2 linked regions of the Caenorhabditis elegans genome follow. The protein of the gene in region 1 purifies or fractionates together with the protein of each later gene. This does not show direct contact. Each region holds a gene or a part of one and is shown on either strand. Other genes may lie near its edges.

Region 1 (5,219 bases):
AATGTCTGATAAACTGGTAAATTGAGCTTTAAATCAATGATAATGAAAAATTGGAATTTTTTCTTTAAATTTGTATTGATAATTTCAGCAAAATAAGCACATTTTCCAGGCTTTTCCAAGATTTTAATGAATTTTTCCAGGAATTTACTAGATTAAAAGTAGCAATTTCAGTAAAACATTCACATTTCCACTGCAACTTTTTCCTCACGAGGGACGAGGACAAGTGGTTTCTAGGCCATGGCCGAGGGGCCGACAAGTTTCAGCGGCCATTTATCTTGCTTTGTTTTCCGCCTGTTTTCTTTTGTTTTTCACAGCTTTTTCCCGTTTTTTCTTATTAAAACTGATAAATAAATATTTTTTGCAGATGCTAAAACAATTTCCAAGTGAAAAAATTATGTATTCAGTGGGCAAGCAGCGGTGAAAGTGGGCATTGTAATATGATGGATTACGGGAATACAAAACCTAAACTTTTTCTGAAACATGATACATATGCTGCTTAAATGCTGAAACTACCTGATTTTCATAACGAGACCGCTGAAAAAGTTTTGAGGTTTTCAAAATTCAACTTTTTGTACGAAAATCTCTACTTTTTCACCAAAAAAGTTGAATTTTGGAAACCTCAAAACTTTTTCAGCGGTCTCGTTATGAAAATCAGGTAGTCTCAGCATTTAAGCATCATATGTATCATGTTTCAGAAAAAGTTTAGGATTTGTATTCCCGTAATCCATCATATGACAATGCCCACTTTCACCGCTGCTTGCCCACTGAATACATGATTTTTTTACTTGGAAATTGTTTTAGCATCTGTAAAAAATTATTATTTATCAGTTTTATTAAGAAAAAACGGGAAAAATTGGTGCAAAACAAAAGAAAACACGCGGAAAACAAAGCAAGATAAATGGCCGCTGAAATTTGTCGGCCCCTCGGCCATGGCCTAGAAACCACTTTTCCTCGTCCCTCGTGAGGAAAAAGTTGCAGTGGCAATTTCATTAAAATATACGCATTTTTTTGCCAGTGATTTTCTCTCAAAAAAACCTTGTATTCTCCTCATTCAACGAGTCAATTTCAAGCTTCAACGTCATTTTCTCCTCAACCATTTTAGTTTCCTCAGCCTGAAGTGTCTCTTTATCCTCACGAAGTCCTCTTCCAAGTGATTCCAGCTTCTTCTTATCAGTTTTAAGCTTTGCCATTTCAGCAATAACATCATTCAACTGACTTTTCACATTATTATCCTTTTGATTCAGTTCAACTTTCTGTTCATCAAGCTTTGTTTTCTCTTTTATCGCTTCTTTATTTGTATTATCATACATTGTATATTCAACACTTCGCTTCGTTTTATCCAATTTCTGATATTCTTTCAAATCTTCTTTCTCGTTTTCAAGAGTTTGGAGTCGTTCGTCAATGTATTTCAGAAGGCCTTGGATTTTTTCCGTTTTCATCTCTGAAATTCAGGAAAAATCGATAAAATTTCAAGATTTGAGAATTTTTCTTCAAAAAAAAGGGTAAATTTGTGATTTTTTAAAAACATTTTTTTATGTAAAATTGCAGAAAAATCAATAAAATTCCCGATTTTGTGCACTGTTTTGTTCAAAAAAGGTTAATTTCAGATTTTTGAAACATTTTTTTTGAAAAATTTGAGAAAAATCAATTAAATTTCAGGTTTTGATAATTGTTTTTCTTCAAAAAAAAAAGGGTGAATTTTCGATTTTTTGAATTTTTTTTTGTAAAATTGCAGAAAAATCGATAAAATTTCAAGATTTGAGCATTTTTTCTTCAAAAATGTTAACTTTCTGATTTTTCAAATATTTTTTCTTGTAAAATTTGAGAAAAATCGATAAAATTTCACGTACCTATTTTCTTCGAACTATTTTCTTCGAAAAATTTCTTAAAACTCTTAAAAAGCTTTTTTTTTTTAGTTTTTTTAGCTAAATTTTTTTGAAATTTCTGAGCTTTTTGAATATTTTACCAGATAAATTTTTCGGTCGAAATACCAGATTTTGAGCACTTTTTGTCTTCAAAAATCTTCAAAAATCCAGTAAAATCGGTAAACTTCAAGCTTTTTTGAATGAAAATTTCAATAAATTCTGACATTTTCCAGAAAAACAAGCGATTTTTGTTGAAAATAGTCAAAATTTGGTGATTTTCGTAGCTTTTTGACAATTTGCAGTCATTTTTCAGATAGAAAATCAATATATAAAGGTGAATTTCCACTTTTTTGAATAAAAATGCACTAATTTTTGAGAGTTTTTTTTGAAAATAGTCGAAATATGCTGACTTTCGGAGTTTTTGGACAATTTCCAGTCATTTTTGCGCGACTTTGCAAAAGAAAACCAGAGTTTTGCTGAAAATGTGCAATTTTTGCATACTTAACACCAAAAACCATGAAAATTTGATGATTTTCCAGTCATTTTTCAGCAAAAAAAAATCATTTTTCTAACGTTTTCACCGAAAAAACAATTATTTTTCAGGTACGCACTGGTTTCCTTCAGGATTTTCAGACTTTCTTCCTTTCTTTCATCGTAAACTCGTGTTCCGGCGACTTCTCTCAGTAGCTTTAGCTTATAAGCGTCCGGCGAAGTGGCCAACTCGTTGATTTTTCCCTGTTTAACGATGTAATACGGGTTTGAGCGAGAAAATCCGGCGGATTCCATGAGATTTACCACCTGAAATTGAGGAAAAATCGATAAATCTCGAGGTTTTCCACAGCTGGAATACCTCGGCACGTGGCACCATTTTATTATCAATGTAATATTGATCCTTTTTCTTTCCAACTTGACGAACAATCTTCACTTCTGAATTTTCAAACGCCATTAGACGCTTTTCCGAGTTGTCAAAGGTGATTTCGACACGAGCGTGGGCGACTTTCGGTCCGGTACTCTCGTGAAGCAGACCAAGACGTTGTTCTTCTTTCAAATGAGCATATTCATCGGAAAGAACGAATTGAATCGCTGAAAATTGACATTTTTCAGCTTTTCCGCAGAAATTCATGCGGCTAACCATGGAAAAAATTGGATTTTCCCGATCCATTTCGTCCGACGACGACGTTCGAGCGTGGACTGAAGCCCGACACATTGGTGTTGTCTTTGTAGCTTCGAAAGCCGGTGATTCTCACCTGAAAATAGGGAAAAATCGATGAAAAACTTGGGAAAACTCACTTCTTTGATCTTCATCGGTTTATTGCATCAAGTGATGGGATGTTGACTGAAACATCGATAATATAGATGAGAAAATCGCAGAATTTAAGTCAAAAAAAACTTTTTGAATGAGGAAAATCGATGGAAATCGCAAAAAACACTGAAAATCAGCAAAAATAAATTTCAAATTCAAAGCGAAGAATTCGCGGGCGCGACCCGGGACTAGAAATCCCCACTCGGCCACCCGGTGTGTACTCCTCTCGGACAAGGATATTTCGAAAAATGAGGGTTTTTCCAAATAAAAACGTGTTATTCTCGGAAAAATACTAGAAAACCACGGAAAAACGTGTCTAAAACAAAAAACTAAAGCAGAATAACAAAAAATTATTTATTTCAATTATTTCTCACAAAAATGAACGGAGTAGCTGGCGAATCGCCGAGCTACGACGAGTACCTGACGTATTTCACACCGGGCGATCGAATTCTGATATCGGAAAATCATCCAAATCATGCACAACGCCTCAATTCGTACAATAATGTTGCGTGGACGAAGACACATTTGGCTGTGAGTGGCAGAAAAGAAAAAAATGCTGAAATCTGAAATTTTTTGCTGAGAATCTCTTCAAAACAGGCAAATCTTCAACATTTTCAGCTTCTCGGTCACATTGGCTATATCGAGAGCATCAACGAGCACCGGCACACTGCAAATGTTCGGGTTTACTACGCAGTTCCGCAAAATCCAGAGCTTGTAAGCTGATTTTTTGAAGATTTTGTGTAAAATGTGTGATTTTTCGGAATCTAGCGATCTTTTTTGTACTTTTTTCCATTGAAAATCGGAAAAAAAAAGTTTAAATTGCTTGGATACTACCGTAATCGTTTAAAGGCGCACACATTTTTACTGATCGCGCCAGGAGAAGTATTGCGAAAGTGGCGTGCGTCTTTAAAAGGCTACTGTAATTTTTGATTTTCAATATCGAATTTTTAAATGAAAATTGGTTGATAACGGTACAGAAACTGAAATCTTCATTGAAGATACTTAAAACTTTTCCTGAATTTTTTTGATTTCAAGCTTTCAGAGGTAACACTGAAAAAAGAGCCTTTTTCCGAATTTTTCATCCCAAATTTAAATTTAAATTTTCAGTTCAAGCTCTCTACCGAATGGCCGCTGGACGCGTTGGAATTCCCTCAATGTATAGATCATTCAAAAGGTGATCTCGTTGCAATAACCCGCGGAGATCCGGAAAAAACGACAATCGGAATAGTGGCAACGAAGGAACCATTGAATTTAGGTGGAATTCCGAAGCATTTGGTTCAACTGAAAAGCGCCTCGAATCCGACGATTACCCGGGAGATTCAGGTGGCGGTTAATGCGAATACGGGATGGACTGATGAGAGACGGGATATCTTTTTGTGTCCGGTTTATTCGGGTCCCCGATTGTCAATGATTGCTAGAGATAATAATGAGCCGTCGGTTCATACTTATAAGGTAGGTAACTTCAGGCATGTCTGCCTCCAAAACTGCCTGCCTACACGCTTATCTGATTATGTGCCTACCTAGTTGCCTACTATCGCAATAGCCTGTCAAATTGTTGTCTGATGCTGAAAATGCCTGAAAATGCGTCCGCATAAAGCTTGTCTGTCTACATATTTGCCTGATTGTTCATAGGTAAGCTTACAAACCTACATACCTACATGCCTACTTGCCTACACGCCTGCCTCCGCGACTACCTGCTTGTTTTTTTCCTGCCTTCCTACATGTTTGCCTGAAAATGCGTCTGCATAAAGCCTGTCTGTCTACATATTTGCCTGCTGGTCCATAGGTCAGCTTACATGCCTACATGCCTACCTGCCTATCTGCCTACCTACCTACATGCCTACCTGAAAGATAAATCGATTTTTTCAGCACACAATCCACGGCTACACCCCGGACACCTTAATGCAAGTGATCGCGAATTGGGGTGAAGACGCGCTGAGCTATGCGCTTCTCGTCGAATCGATCCGATCGGATCCGCAACAAGTTCGGACCCTTTTCGACGGTCAACTGCCACTTTTCCGTGCTGTCGCCGATGATCTACGGAATGTTGT
Region 2 (4,842 bases), 7.0 Mb from region 1:
TGTCTTATCACTAAAAAGGAAGAAATCAGGAATTTCAAAACGAAAAAAATCAATAAAAGTGAGAATTTAAAAAGTGACTTCGATCGGAAATGGGAAACCGTTGATCACAATTAGAACTACTAAAAATTTTAGGATTGAGCGAAAACATTGCTCAGCTTTAAAAAATGAGGAAAATTGATATTTCATAAACCAGCAGCAGTGATTAGATTGTTTGAAGAGACGCAGGAAAATCGCGGGCAAAACGCTCTGCTCGCCAAAGTTGGGTCTCGTTAGGTATTTGGCGGGAAAACCTCGAAATTTAATATTGGAGCGCGTTTCCACGTAGATTTAAAAAAGATACATTTTTCTGCTTTGGGTCTCGCAACGATTTTGAGAAAAGTCAGCTTTCTAGATGAGCTAGAATTTGTCTAGTCAAGAAATAACAAACGAAGCAGCAAGATGTGGCAAAATTAGTTTTTTTTTCGAAATTCCCGCTACAACTCACGATATTATCGTAGTTCTTGGGAAAAATGTCAGAAAGAACAGTGCTTTGAGCTAGAGAACTCGAACTTGCTCGAGATAAATGCTGAAAAAGAGAAAAACGGGAATGGATGACGAATGGAATTTTCACACGCACAAATTTACTGTTTTCTTGTTTTCTACACTTTTTGTGATCAGTTTCCATATCACTCATCTCCACTTCATCGTCTTGTTTCCGTTTACAAACCTTTGTTTTTTGATCGGACTTCAGTCGATTCATTGTGTAGACGTAGTGGTTAGCCTGGAAAATTCATTGTTTTAGTGATTTTAAAATTAAATCTGCGTAATTTCGAAATTGTTAAACGACAAAAAAGATACAACTTTTCGAAACAAAACTGATAAGCAATGCAGTTAATAATTTCAAAAAATAAAGCAATTTAATAACGCAAAGAGAAGAGGGAAGGAAGAAGAAACGAACAACAACGCGGTCGATTAACGAATCAATAGAAAAATACGGGAAAAACTATAAAATGGTGAGCGATAGAGGAAACCACGAGAAAACGCTGCAATGTAATGCAGATGTGACGTCATACACTTTGTTTAGCGGGAAACGGAGTGTCGTATTGATTTCGATTAACGTCGGCGTCTCTCGAAAAGAAAACTGAAGAAAATCAACATAATTTTGAATTCCATTGAAAAGGAATATATTAGAGATAATATTTACTACAGCATCGCTCATTTAAAAAACATTTTTCTGTAACAGAAAGTGAAGTTTTATTGAATTTGTATTATTTTCAATGATTGCAAAGTTTTTTACATATTTTAATATGTATATACAATTTAAAACATGACAATTTTAATTGAGAAAAGCGGAACATTTAAATAATTATACAAAATTGAGAGAAAGCGTGAAAAAGCATTTGAAACAAATTTTGGCGCGCGCTTGAAACATTTAAATCTCGGCGAGACCCGTTTGTTCCCACTGCCCATGCTCCTTTAATACAGTATCTCACACTATTTTCAATTTAATTTCTTTTCTATTTCTCCATTTTCTCCATTTTTTCGACAATTTTTATTGAATTTTTGCTTCCAATTTCAGTAAAATGAGCGGTGATGTGGATTACCCGCAAGGATGTCTTCCAATTCTTAACTCAAATAATGTGACACAACAAATTGAACGCTTACGAGTGAGTTTCAGAAATTTCAACAAAAAAACAACTTATTTTGAATCTAAATTGATGCCTTTAAAGAAGTTGAATATGAGAAATGAATTATTTTTTGATGAAAAGAACGTTAAAAGAAATGATTAAACATTATTTAAAAAAATATATAATTTTCAGAAACTATTTAACTGTCTCCATGACTGCAAAACAAACAATAGCGAAGAAGTATCGTCTCCGAATCGATTCGCAAGGCTTTTCCAACATTTATCACAAGAATGCTTCCTTGACAATTCAAATACAGATTTTCGGATCCTTCTTTCACTTTGTCTCGCGAATATTCTGCGAATCTTCCAGCCAGAGCTACCGACGCCAAGTGTAATGGATTTAAAGGTTAGAATTCAAGTAAATTATTGATTTTTAATGAAATTTTCTGTTTCAGGAGGTTTATATCTACCTTTTCCGTACCATGCGAGGACTCGGAGACGTTACTCAGGATAGTCCGAAGTTTAAAAATTACTTCTCGTTGGTTGAGGTTTGCTGTAGAAATTCTAGCACCAAAAAATAATTATTTATATTCAGACAATGGAGAAAATCATTCCACCAATCATCGAAATGAAGGATCACGATGATAAAGAAGCAACTCCGGTGTTCCGAGCGTTGATCAAGGATATTCTGGCGATTCCGTGTGGAAAAGGATGGAATCAGAATCTGAAAAAAGAAGCGCGACTTTTGAAAATTCAAGAAAATGACGATGATTCAATGAATGATGACGAAGAAGATGAGAATGCCGCCGAAAAAATTCGGAAATCTTTAATTCAAATTGCAACGACAGTGATTACTAATTTGGATTTTGTTCAGAACGAGTGCCTTGATGTTTTGTTTTATCATATTATTAATCCACAGAGAGTAAGTTTTGTGGAATTAAATAGGGAATTAGCGTTGAAAACAAAAAATAGCCCCAGAATATTTAAATTTATGAATATGTCCCTTGAAATCGGCCGAAAATTTTAAAAAATCATTTTTTTTCCCTATTCCGCGTATTTTGTCGTTTATTCTAATGCTTATTTTGTTGATTTGCATATTTTCATGTCTACAAGAAAATTTTTTTCAAAATTTTCAAATTATGGATTCCGTCTGATCGAAAAGTGCGTGAATCAACAAAAACAGAAGGAATAAACGACAAAAACTTGCGAAATGTACAATTAATTTCATAAAAAATACCATCTTTTAATCACTACGACACGAAAATAACGGCGTAATTTAAGGTTGTAACTGAATTTAGAATTTATTGCAATTATTGAATGATTTTTCAAAAACCGTTATTTAAAGTTTTTGGAAAAAAAATTTTAATGCAAAACTATGAGAAAAGTATGAAAAATTCTCTTATAGAATACCCTTTCAGAATATATTTCCAACAAAAAACTTCAATTTCAGAGCAATTTCGCAGAAGCACGTGCACTGGCAGAAGATATCATCCGATCCTGCAGTGATAATGAGTCAGACACTTTAGCAAATTCCATTCGAAGTACAATGACAGCAGCCGCAAAAGAAGGGAAACTTCCAGAAGAATTCGAGTTAACTGGTTCCAGTAATCGAAGTAAATTCTTTGAAGTACTCCGTTATCTTCACTACGTATCATTTGATTTGGTGTCTGGCGCTATTCAAGAACTCAAATTTTGGCTTCAGGTAGGACAATTGAAAAAAGGAACTTAGTAGAGTACTCATCAAATCATTTTTCAGTCAGAAAATGAGCAGTACCGAAAAGAAGCAGTGACAGTCGTTGGAATGTTGACACGTGACAAACATTGTCAATTCGGAATGGATTCAAATGATCCAACATGGAGTGCTTTTTTGAATGCGTTAGTTTTTTAATTGTAATTAAATTATTTTGTCGAATTTTTTGTGATTTTTTTCAGGTCTATCGATCAAGATGATAGTGTTCGACACGAATTTGTGCAACAATCGAAAGATATTCTAATTTCGAATCATTCACATCTCAGGGGACAGATTATTAGTAGGTTTTCGTGAAATAAAAACTATTTTTTCTCATATTGGATAAAAGCTAAAATTGAATTTTCACGGTTTTGAAAGTTGGTTTTTTAAAAAATGTTTTTTCATGTTTTTTAGTGAAATTTTCCAAATTCAAGAAAATTTTGAATTTTTCTAAAGTAAAATCCCCATTTTCAGATAGCCTGCTACGTCTCTCCGTTGATTTAAATGACGATATTCGACGAGATGTTGTAACTGGAGTTACTGAAGTGGCAAAAACGAAATTAGAAGTTATTAGTGATAAAATGCTAAAGGCCTGTGCCGAGCGGATGAAGGATAAAAAGGTTTTTTATATTAAAAAATCTAATTAAAAAAGCGAAAACCCTAAAAATTCCAGCCAAAAGTCCGAATTCAAGCGATCAAACGTCTAATGGATCTTTATAATCATGTGATGACGTCATCACCTCAACCATTTTTCTCAAAAGATGGAAGTTGTGCACCAAAAGATTCAAAAGAAGCGACATTATCATATACTGAATCAGAAAAAGAATCAGTTCGATTCATTTCAACGGCAGTTTTTAATGTTTATAGATTGACACAAAGATTGCCAGCTTATCACGATGCAAGAGCAATTATCGAAAGATATTTCCAATTATATCTTGTTCCGTACAAAGTTGAACCAAAATTGAGAGTTCGATTAATGGCGGATTTATTCAGAAATCTTGATGATATTGGATGCATGTACGTTGATATTTTTAGAATTTCTAAAAAAAATTTCGTTCTAAAACTATCGAAAATAATTCTAACAGTGAAAAAATGGGTTTTTACGGGATTTTTTTTGTTGCAAAAACTAATCCGAATTAATTTTGAATTGCCTAAAGAAGGAAGTTTTCGATTTTTCTATTATCCGAAAAAATCAATATTTCATCAAATTTTGTTTATCTCGATGAGAAAAAAACATAAGAAAACATTAAATTTTATTCTAAAAAAAAAAAGAAAAATTGCCAACATTTAAAGATATTTTCTAGTTATTTATATTATATATTTAGTTAAAAAATTTTTTTTGAATTTTTGAAACTTTTTTTTACGGAAAAATGACCGAAAAGTGTTGTGAATTTCTCAATTTACCAATAAAATTTTTATTTTTAACCTTAAAAGGTTATTTTCTGTAGGGAAATGTGAAAAGTTTGAAAAAAAAATAACCAGAAAATTCCAGAAAACAAATGAAAAT

Evidence for each region.
Region 2: the proteins of smc-3 (region 1) and evl-14 fractionate together in Caenorhabditis elegans (co-fractionation; one large-scale study listed by BioGRID). This does not show direct contact.

The regions. Positions count from the first base shown.
Region 1 is NC_003281.10:11,288,893-11,294,111, reverse strand, and holds the start of smc-3 (Structural maintenance of chromosomes protein 3), read right to left. Parts: upstream 3,209-5,219; 5' UTR 3,171-3,208; coding exon 3,156-3,170; intron 3,113-3,155; coding exon 2,998-3,112; intron 2,949-2,997; coding exon 2,716-2,948; intron 2,664-2,715; coding exon 2,477-2,663; intron 1,442-2,476; coding exon 1,036-1,441; intron 1-1,035. Other genes in the region: mib-1 (RING-type domain-containing protein), read left to right, coding at 3,547-3,699, 3,787-3,882, 4,276-4,620, 5,038-5,219. UniProt on the Caenorhabditis elegans protein: Involved in chromosome cohesion during cell cycle and in DNA repair. Involved in the repair of double strand breaks during mitosis and meiosis. Required for chromosome segregation during mitosis. Central component of cohesin complex.
Region 2 is NC_003281.10:4,309,845-4,314,686, reverse strand, and holds the start of evl-14 (Cnd1 domain-containing protein), read left to right. Parts: upstream 1-1,558; 5' UTR 1,559-1,562; coding exon 1,563-1,646; intron 1,647-1,799; coding exon 1,800-2,012; intron 2,013-2,061; coding exon 2,062-2,154; intron 2,155-2,201; coding exon 2,202-2,528; intron 2,529-3,056; coding exon 3,057-3,308; intron 3,309-3,362; coding exon 3,363-3,481; intron 3,482-3,538; coding exon 3,539-3,636; intron 3,637-3,809; coding exon 3,810-3,955; intron 3,956-4,008; coding exon 4,009-4,352; intron 4,353-4,842. Other genes in the region: dcn-1 (Defective in cullin neddylation protein 1), read right to left, coding at 707-739.